Linked DNA regions of Xenopus tropicalis. The protein of the gene in region 2 binds, or shares a complex with, the protein of the main gene of each other region. Links are inferred from orthologs where the notes say so. Each region holds a gene or a part of one and is shown on either strand. Other genes may lie near its edges.

Region 1 (4,947 bases), on a different chromosome or scaffold from region 2:
AGCTACTGTGTGAATTTTTCAGGTAAGGAAAGCAATATGGCCCCAAAATATATATATATATATTTAACTTGGAACAGCACCACAGTAATTAATCCATTAAAACGCCTTTTTTGCAAACTCAGTGCAATGGATTCATTACTGCGGTGCTGGTCAAGTCTAGTTTCCTATTGAGCAGCAGTGGAAAGTGGCCGCCGTTGGTGAATGTGCAATGCTGAAAATATTACCGACTTGTTGTGCTGACTACTATACTATATACTATATTTATATTCTCTATACACAATAAACTAAGCCCTTATACCTTAGTCTCCATTTAAAGGGGCTGCGTCACCTGCTGTGGAAAAAAAAACAATTTTCCTAAAAATGCTGATTCTATATAAAGATACTAAAAAATGTCATCATTATAAATTGAAGTAGCACTACTGATCAGTTTTGGCTATGGATATTTTTCATTTATATTTTTACCATTAACTGACGTGTGCTTTTAGATGAGAACTTGAGGATTGAAATACAGGCATGGGATCCCTTATCTGGAAACCAATTATCAACAAAGCTGTGAATTATAGGAAGGGAATCTCTTATAGAATCTGTTTTAGGTAAATAATTCTAATTTTTAAAAATGATATCCTTTTTCTCTTTTATAATAAGAGCTAATATGGTATCCTAACTAAGCTACATGAATCCAAATTGCTATCCAATCCTATTGGGTCCATTTAAGTGCAGGGGTCCTCAAATTTTTTAAACAGGGGGCCAGTACATGGCCCCTCAGACTGTTAGGGGGCTGGACTATAGTTTTGAAAAAACTACTAGTTTTATTCCTGGCCTATCACTGGCAGTGGCCCATAAATACTCAGTGCTGGGCCAAGCCACAAAAAAAATCTTCAGAAGGTCCCCCACCCATTGCAAATAGTGCTCTCCTACCTGAGAGCCAGCGGGGAGTGGTAAGTATTGGGGAGGGGGTTACGCGAGGTGACGCGCAGGGGCAGGGAGAAGGGTAAATGACTGCGGGGGGCTGTACACGGCCTGCATAGTTTGAGGACCCCTGATTTAAGGTTTAGATGATTTAAGGTCTTAGAAGCCTTAAGGTACGGTAATACAAATGATAGGTCCCAAGCATAATAGATCCCATACCTGTACATTCATTTATAAACAAAAGAACATCCAGAAGTGGCAGAGCCTTCCTTATAGGCAGCAGAGAGATCTGTATAACATACACTTTAATAAATGATACAAAACATTCTACTTGCAAAAAGAATTGAAAACCATTTAAGAGTACGACATGGAAAGTGTCTCCTTATTTCATTAGACAATAAGCCATGAGAGACACGAGGAGGAGCGTTTGGCTAAGCAGTATGAGCAGAGTACGCACAATACGGACTTATTTCAGAAAAACTTACTCTATCTTTTATTTTAGGTACAAACAGCACAAAAAACCTTCATAGAACTTTGAAAAAACAATATTATTTTATATAATTAGCTGTGTTTTTTTAACATTGATGCCATTTAAAGTTCACAGTTTAGAAAGAAAATACAGCAATAATTGTTCTTTTTTAATACAAAATAACCAGGTTTGCACAGTGACAGTGAGCACACGTGGGCCCCATGTAGGCGGGTCAAACACTAATATTAACACACTCTGTAGTGATAGCCATTGAGGTCACTTTCCCATATTGATCATGAGCATACATCAAGATATTTTTTCCATTAAGATTCATAAAATGTGCTTTTTGAAATTTTTTTAATATCTAGCATAAAAAAAACTTTGTTTACATTGGCAAATGTCAGTTTAGAAATGTATTTTATTCATTCTTTTCTTGTTATTAACACTGTCGCTATTGTTACGGATTGTAGAGAAAAACACCAGCTCTCACGTGGAAGGCTAACAACAAGGTTACAACTAACATTTCCCCCAAGCGGGCAATTCGTTATTTACAGACATTTATATATAAATGAAAAAAAAAAAAGATACTAATAAAACTAAAATAAAATTTGTAAAATGTGGTAATTCAATGCTACCGTATCCCTCAATAAAACCAGGTCTATAAAAACAGTACTATACAATATGATATGTCATTTGTTGGAAAGACGACGGCAGAGGGGAAAGGAAATGATTAGCTGACTAGTGGCATAGAATGGGCTCAGTAGTACAGGAATTGGGGGGGTTAAAGATGAATGAATGGCTCTAATTTATTTTTTTTAGCAAATAGAGCAGCCATGTCCTTATGTGGCCCCTTGTACATAAAAGCACCTTGCTGTCTCTGCACTGTAGTAGAATATGACTGCCAGCAAAGGCAGGGTCGGACTGGGGGGTGCAGGGCCAACCGAGGCTTCCGCCCACCCTCTAGCAGGGGCGTCCCAACACCCGCCCAAATCCCTCGCCCGAGCGCTTAAATTAAATTTACCTACACCGCGTCAGGGGAGGGAGACTGGCAGGTCAGTGGAGTGCCCTGTCGGGATTGGGTCTGGGCCGCCGAGGCCCACCAGGGTTTTGCCCCAGCAGCCCAGTCCAATGCTGAGCAAAGGTAAGTAATGTAGCTCTTTATTTCCATTCAGTATGGATCAGATGCTTGGGAAATAGAAGTTAAAAAAAGTGGTTAGTTAAGAACTCAGTGACTGGTTAAACAACCTAAATGGATTTCTAAATGACTTGGGTAGAGAGAAGCATGATCCAGGAAGAGACACGGAGAGAAACGAAAAATGGCTCCCCAATATAAAGTTTTCCATCCACCTAGGCACCGCCACATACTAAAGAATAAAAGATGTGTATTATAGACTGTAAATGTGGCAAGGCTACTCAGGAGTATACACAGCAGAATATTTGGTACAGGTTGAGATGTGAAGTGGAGCGGGTCTCCAAAGCTTTTTTTACCCAATAAAGACACAGCTATTTGCCCTACAAGCTGCGCTTAGAGGATGAGCTCTGAAACAGAGGCTGGCTAGGTGGCATTGCTGCTCAAAGTAAACATCAGACCTTATTTACCTATTGGGTTTAACGCCAAGTAAAACAGCTGTAAGGCATAAAAATCAAAGCGCTCATATCAGATTTTCCAACCTAAACTCCAGCTTGGCCCAAAGACACACAATTGAAATTCCACTCAAGTTCAGTTTCTGTTGGAGAAGAAGCAGCAGCCAGCGCGGCGATCACTATGGACGACGTCCCCCTTCAAGAGCTTCACATTTGAATTGGCTCTGGCTCTCGCTCATCTAATAAATTTATTAGCATTGAGAAGCTATCTTTCACAGCCTCCATGTTATCCAGTGATGTTGGCTGCAGAATCCAACGTTTCCCACGTGCAAGTGGTTCAAGTTCAAAATACTTCTTGATCTGAAAGAAAGAGAAATACAAATGTATAAATAAATATTTTGGAACACGTAACAATAACTACAGGTAAACTGATCCTGCTGCTCCGTTCTCAGATTTACAAGGGATATCTCTATATAGTATTCTTTTCACCTTCCCATCAGACACGACAGAACATAAGTTCTTCATTTAAATCATTTATAGGCTCCACCCAATCATTAGCTTTAAAAGTCTGAAATTTGCATGGCTGGTGCTTACCCAACTGGCATACTTTGGCAACTGAGTTACCTAATTGGGTAAGCCAAATTATACTAACGCATTTAATGACCATTTTCTTTTTTTTTTTTTTTTTTTTTTATTTCAACAAATCTTTATTAAATTACTCACAATTTAGTTACAGCACAGTTGTCTCATAAACGTGGAATATGTACTTATAATCAGATAACCTTAAGTATGGATAGTTAGCTATATAAGAAGGAGAAGAAGGGAAAACCGGAGAAGAGGGGAGGAAGAGGAACAGGCAACCGTAATGAAGGCGATGCTCAAGAGGATCCGAGGGGAGGAAAGAAGGAGGGGAGAAGAGGAGAAGCAGAACCAAGAGGAACTACACGGGATTCAAGGTAAGTAACAGTATAATAAAATTGCATTAAGTTGCATTAACTCGGTATGGCATGGCAAAACATTCCATAATGGTCATAGGCTGTTATGGGAGTTTAGATAAGAGAGCCAAGGCTGCCAGCACAAATCGAACTCCTGTTGTTTCTCGTGTATAGAGGAGGTAATCTCTTTTAATGACCATTTTCATATCACTCCTTAGGGACCTCTTTCCCAGAGCTACCAACCACAACTTGGCCAGCCTTCCTGAGATCTTACTAACCTCTCCAACCATGTATCTATAGCACCTTTTAATTAGGGGCAATATCTTACTAACCCTAGTTGCGGCAGACTAATTGCATGCTACTATTAAGATTATCTACAAGTACATCTAGGTCCGTCTCCCCCAAGGTTTTACCAATCTTAGAGCCATGAATGGAATAAGTAACCTGCATGTTTTAAAACTGCATAACTGTAGCTAAGTTTGTGAGCGATACTCAGCGCTATAGGTGTCCTCGTGCTTAATTACTTTCAGTCTTCAATGTAGACAATAAAAGTAGTGCTCAAATCTCCTGCTGCTTCCTCCAAAGAAAATACCCCTCTTGAATGGGTATTAAAACATGTGCAAACCCAATGTGTTGGAAGCGCATGAAAAATAAAAATACAAAATAGTGCAATATGTTTCAAAAGTTAATGAAACTAAAGTGAAAGAGTTGTGCCTATAACTCCAAATAATAACAAAGTGCACATAAAATCCACAAATCGCAGTGTGGTGTAGTTGCACATTCCCCAGATGGTAGTTAAGATATGCAGAGGTAAATGAAATCCACTGTTGATGGAGGTAGGTTCAAGATCTCCATTCAATTTGGGAAAGGAAAAGATAAAAACAGCTCTACGCGTTTCACGTGTCCGCCATGCTTATTTCTCCTGATGAAGTGTGGCAGACACGTGAAACGCGTAGAGTTGTTTGTGATACATTTTGTTCTTATCCAGATACTGTAAGTAGCCTGTACTGCAGCAGGACTATTTTTAATAAAGGGTATTACACTATATTC
Region 2 (5,979 bases):
GTTTTTTTACCAAGGTCCAACTTAATAAGCTTGTGTTTTCAAGACATGGTATCGAGAATGGTAAGAAATGAGATGCACACAAGGACAAAGTCTGTGGCAGGGTACAGAGGAAGGAAGAACAATGTTCATTTAAAGTCAAATCTGCTGTCTTCTACATTGAAGCTGTGACAGAATGCAATGTTTTTTCCACCCGCATATCTACTCAAGTTGAGAAAATGCAACGTGACATGACTCTAAAGGCTGTGTCTGGAGTTTACAGATAAGGAGGAGTTTACTATAAACATGGTTTAACTGGGAAGAGTGATACAATAACCGCATTATTCTCCTTCTACAACTGCTATGAAAAACCAAGAATGCAGACTTGTGTGTAAAATAAAAGTGGTCTTTAAATGTTACTGTTACAGACTGTTTAGTGTAACATATAGATAACTGTTCTGTTTTTGTGTTAAAGGCCTATTCTTGGACACTTGTTGAATACAGGTGTATATTGCGGTGTGTGTTGTGCAGTGTTCCTGCATTTCTAGCGACAGAGTTTCAGCATGACACCCTGAGGGAAACTAGTGTCACTTCTGTATCTGACCTTCATTCCAACTAACAATTAGGCAGTAGTTGGAAAGATACGTGGAGGTGCATAGGAGATGCCTGAACAGACAGCAATAAAAAATTACAACAATGTTAAATCTAGCCCTAAATCTGTCTGTGACCATAACAACCAGACAACATTTTATTGTGCAGGGCAGAGAGAAGCAAGAGTGAAAAGCAAAAAATTCAAAGCCACAAAGACAAAGGAAACAACTACTCTGGTCTGTGAGATGCTTCATTGGTAGGTTCCCCTTTAATCGTAAAAAACCCAATCAGTTCAGTAATCTTACACATTGCGAGTGAGACAGGGATGTACATATGTGGCCTGGAATCATTCCTGCCAATCTACCTGCCCTTGCTGTATAGCGCATTATTTACAATTGCTAGAGATACTAGAAATGCTGAGCGGGGGGGCACTTTTTTTTTTTTAACATGTCATTCTAAGCCACTTTCAAATATAAAAGGAGAAGGGAAGAAATAATCACCAGGGGTGCCAATTTGTTAGACATCCCCCAGTGATTATAATCCCTTAGGGCCATTATACAACCATGCCCGTGCCTGCCAGCAGATGTTGCTATAGCCCTCTCAGTGGAATCGGTGTGCTGGCCTGGCTGAATAAGCAAACAGAATCAATAATTACAAAGCACTAACAAGCTGCCACTATACCTTCCAAAAGGCAAAAGGAATATGTTTCATTAATTTAAGCATTCATCCCATTTATTTTATTGAGGGGTCATGCCTTTATCAAATGCATAGGAGTTTTACTGGACAACAAAGCTGGCAAATAAGCAGTACAGGTAAAATATATCTGTACTGGAAAAGATATACTTTGTAAGGGTTGGCTAATATGCACAAATATAATTAATAGGGATGCACCGAATACAATATTTTAGGATCCAGCCAAACCCCAATTACTTTGTGAAAGAGTCAACTGAATACAGAACCAGATCCTAATTTGAACATGCAAATTAAAATAAGGAAGGGTCAAAGAGAACCGCGCACAAAGCATGCAGTAAATACATTTCCATGTCCCGTCTTTAAGTGACAAAAAGTCACATGATTTTAAGGATTCATTCTGGCCAGAGGCATAGATTCGTCTGAATCCGAATCCTGCTGCAAAGGCTGAATCTTGGCCAAATCCTGAACCAAATCCTGGATTCGGTGCATCACTAATAATTAACAGTGGACACATACAGAAGTCTTGTAATCTATACAAAATGCATTTGTAAGTTTTGTCATGTGCTATACATTACATTCCAGCGACAATGATTAACCTGTTTGTGCCCATGGCATTTTCCTTTACCTTTTGTATATGGAATGTTTGAAGAGGTTGTTGTGTCAAATATTTGGTCCCTCTACTGTACTGTTTGACACATGGGATAGTTTCTATTATTTATACATATACACTACTCAGGAGTGATGCTAAATTGACATTAGCTTAAACATATTATATAAATGTATATTATTATTTATTATATATACAGGGTTCTAATAATCAGAATGGGTCTCTAAAAGTGAGGCCAGGGTTGAAAAATGCAGCAGTAAGTAAATACATTATCAGAACATAAGATGCACATGTAGAACCCAGACACGAAGCTCAAACAGGCCTCCAGCTGCTGACAAGAGAAGTCACATGCACTCTCAGAGCACAAATAATTTAGGGCTGCACAGAGTTGGCCAGATAAAGGTATCAGAATAGCTCAGACTGCCCCTGGTTCAATAGTATATTCAGGTTTTATATACTAACCCCAGTGTGTGAATGTGATTGGGACCTTAGACTGTAAGCTCCACTGAGGCAGTGAATGATGTATAATATCTGTAAAGTGCTGCAGAATAGCTTGATACTATATGAATTATAATGAATAAACAAATAATAAAGTACAATACCATGGTTATTTATCAATGGTCCTATTTCAGCTGGCACAGAGACAGCACGGGACTATAACCTTGCTGTTACATTGCCGCCCTGTTAGCCTTTATGATGAGGATTTCAACCAGGCATCAAAGGTCAAGTCACACGAGAGAAAGACAACGGAGACACACAGCAAAGTGAACTATAGCGTATGAACCGATAATTAAGCATTATTTAAAGGATAAGGAAGTTAAACATACCGGGGGGGGGATTGCTAAACTGAGCAAAATTGCCAAGTTTTTGGCCTGTGTGGGAGCACCTGTTCTTTCAAATTGGCTTAGGGTACTTTGCAGTAGAGTCTGGCAGCCATTTTTCCTCTCCACCCAGGTGTCCCTGCAGTAGCTTGGAGTAAGTGCATGCACATCACAGTGTGGCTTCCACATATTACTATCCTGTGCATCTGCCCAACCAACTCTGCCACAAGGGACAACTGTGACCAGAGGAAAAACAGCACTGCTGTGTACCTCTTCTGTGTGCCAACCCTAATTTCTAGCCCTTCTGTCTTGTCTGGAACCCCGCTCCTACCCTGGCACCCAATCCCTGCTCGTTACATAGTGGGGTAGGGAGGAAACAGGAGAGATTTATTGAGCGCTGTTAGTGGGAAGGAGGTTGACAAGAGGGGGTGTGGTGATTTGGGTCCTGCCTTGAAAGGTTTGGCCTAGAGCTACCCCTCAGCATGTTTATTTTTCCTTGTCCTTTAAAGAAGTTTAAAAGAATAAAAGAAGATAAAGACTTTTTATTGCACAGTACTATTTAGCATTGTATTTGCAAATTAGCCACATATTAAATCCCACTGTTGTGCAAGTACAGGATATCATGTAAAGAGATTCCTGAACAAGAGAGAATATTTTGGAAAGCACTGAGCATTATGGCTCAAACATCAAACTTCACATAGAGAAAGAGAGAGCGCGATAGAGACAGTCTATAAGAAGCTAAGCTACCTGGTGATGCAGTGAGAGCCATTACGCCATAGTATGAAAATGCACCTGCTTCGAACTTCATGCCTTCCTTGCCCGCTTCCACTTCTACCTTCCCCTGTGGATAAATATGTATTACACACGTGGCATTTCATAAATGTATTGGAAAAGAACTGGTTTCTTAGCTAAGAAACCGATTATCATATGAGCAAAGCAAACTAGTTTTACTTCTAAGTCCTGAAGGGTTATATACGTGCATGTTCCACGGGTAGGAATGCTAAGAGTGGATGTCTAATCTTTCTAGTACTTTCCCCAAAACCCAAGTGCACTGCAAAGACACGGCAACACCAGGCAGTGGGGCAAGGGAAAGATGCACAGCACGTGAATATGCTTGACAGCAACTGGTCTGACCTGTAAAACGAGAACAAAGTAGTCCACGGGCTTATTCCGCTGGTAGAGGTAGTATTCAGCAGACTTCTTGTTCCGTTCATCGAACTTTAGCTCTTGGATAACGTTGGGATGTTTCAGCAGCCTTAGCAGGATTTTCTCTGACATCTGAGAGGGGCTAAATGCATCCACTTCTACAATGGAAACAGCACACATGGGTTTATCCCTCTGGAATATATCTGTGGTAGTGCAGTGTCACCAATAAGGCTAGAAAGCCTATACATGATCGCACAATGTGACTACAGCGCTTTAGCAGGGAAGATCTGTGCCTCTAAAGATGTCCCCAGTAGCCCCATACCTTCTATTTTACTGATTCACTTCTGTGCTTCTGTCAGTCTAAGCTAAATAACTGACTGACAGTATACTGTATATGTGTGTGTATATTATATACATATATTCATTAGAAGGTGCATGAACATTCAATTATATGAAGCTCCAATACATGCCATAACACAGACAGACACACCAGGCTGCTATAACTTTGAATGAACTTGAACTAGATTTAGGAATAGAGGGAGGAAAGGTTGTATTATGAACTAACCCCTTGATTTATTGGAGACAGCAAAACACAGCAGATGTTTCAAGAGAATGCAAAAAAACATGCTAACGTTCTAAAAGTACTCTGTTGTGTTCTTCCTGCGGTTACTCCAGGGCAGGCAAGGGGGTTATACTCGCAGACCTTTAGGGCCTATGCACATCTACCAACTCAGTTAGGAGGGCCTCAGTCAGCAGCTTTTATTAGTCCATGTGTGTTACTCCCCAAACTAGAGTTGGTAGATGTGCATAGGCCCTAAAGGTCTGCGAGTCTCTGTAGGTCACAAGTACTATTCAAACTTTGTCCCAGCAGCAAATGATCGGATCAGTCATATATGGACCAGCACGTGGGTGACTAAATTAGGCAAAGATTTGTTCTTTTGGCAAGGTAGCCATACAAGTGTAAAATATATGGTCAACTTAACAATACTTCGGCTTATCTTAGCAATATGATTGCAAAAATCTTTCGCGATTCTGACTTATCTGGGGCTTGGAAGCTAAGGGACATGCCCTTAATTAAAAGATTTTAAAAGGCCTACTAACAAAGAAAACATGGTACCTTCAGAATGATTACTTTAGCAGCAGATCATTTTTATCATAGTATGTGACCTATTAAAGAATCTTCCCAAATGGACACATACTGATTAGTATTTAGCTTTTACATCTATTACCATAAATTATCCACCATTTTGTGTTCTGTGTGTCACTTATCACCTGACAGGAAATAATGCAGGTTCTAACTAGAACAGGAAGAAGTGTGGGAGTAAAAGACACAGCCCATTGACTGGCTGATATAACCTGGCATGTATGTGTGCCCTTGGTTTGTGTGTGCCACAGTGCCTTATATAAGCCAGAGGGCTGGGCAGTGTTTCTATCCAGGGTTAACTAATGGCACATACTACTAGCAATGTATATTTTTACACTATTTCCGAGTCACTTTTGACCCAGCTTCATTGCTTCTGAGCAATTTTTTTTTCTCATTTCAGCTTTTATTGTAGAATAATAAAACAAAAAACACAGTTATTTTGGTCGTCTTTACATTTATACGTTTAACACAAATGCAAATCAGAGAGATGTTCCTTATAGCTGTTGCTGTATAGTTTAGTTTCCAGGATTCTTCCCTCACTGTACTCAGGAAGTAAGAAACACGTGTTGGCACGGAGCACACAAAGTCGATCTTCCCTAAGCCCAAGCGCCCCTTTCCCATCCCCAGCTAAATACTGGCTTTCATATTACTAGTGATCTCAAACTGTGATAAGCCCAACTTGCCTGTTGCTAGGAAACGGTGCATTGCCAGGAGAAGCTGTGGTGATATTTTAACCTTCATTTCGTTGTCGGTTTGTTTAAAAGCGGAGAAGTCCTGCTTCCTCTCCCGGTGCATTACCTTCTTTTTTGTCCTGTTATCCGCTGCAAAGTTACAAAGCAACACAAAAATTGCCCATAGGTTAACACACTGCATCGCACTTTGGCTGAAAATTTGCTTAATAGAAAAGGTTATTTATTACAAAGGCTATCTTTTATTAAAAATTGTCCTATGGCTAATATGTTAAAATGCTCGACAGTTTTATCTTTATAAAAAGTGCTTGG

Evidence for each region. The genes of interacting proteins can lie anywhere in the genome.
Region 1: the proteins of cnnm2 (region 2) and arl15 are in contact, whole or in part, in a crystal structure (PDB 8F6D), measured with the Homo sapiens proteins. The link is inferred for Xenopus tropicalis from reciprocal best matches to the Homo sapiens genes CNNM2 and ARL15. Residues at the interface, in NP_060119.3 of Homo sapiens: Asn490, Val492, Pro521, Leu522, His523, Phe524, Val525, Phe526, Thr529, Glu537, Lys542, Ser543, Gln549; in NP_061960.1 of Homo sapiens: Tyr92, Ser94, Arg95, Gln98, Gln128, His129, Pro130, Gln131, Cys133.

The regions. Positions count from the first base shown.
Region 1 is NC_030677.2:192,212,039-192,216,985, reverse strand, and holds the end of arl15 (ADP-ribosylation factor-like protein 15), read right to left. Parts: intron 3,323-4,947; coding exon 3,170-3,322; 3' UTR 1,384-3,169; downstream 1-1,383.
Region 2 is NC_030683.2:28,757,350-28,763,328, forward strand, and holds part of cnnm2 (metal transporter CNNM2 precursor), read right to left. Parts: intron 5,800-5,979; coding exon 5,656-5,799; intron 3,993-5,655; coding exon of another isoform or gene 3,990-3,992; coding exon 3,823-3,989; intron 3,530-3,822; coding exon 3,436-3,529; intron 1-3,435.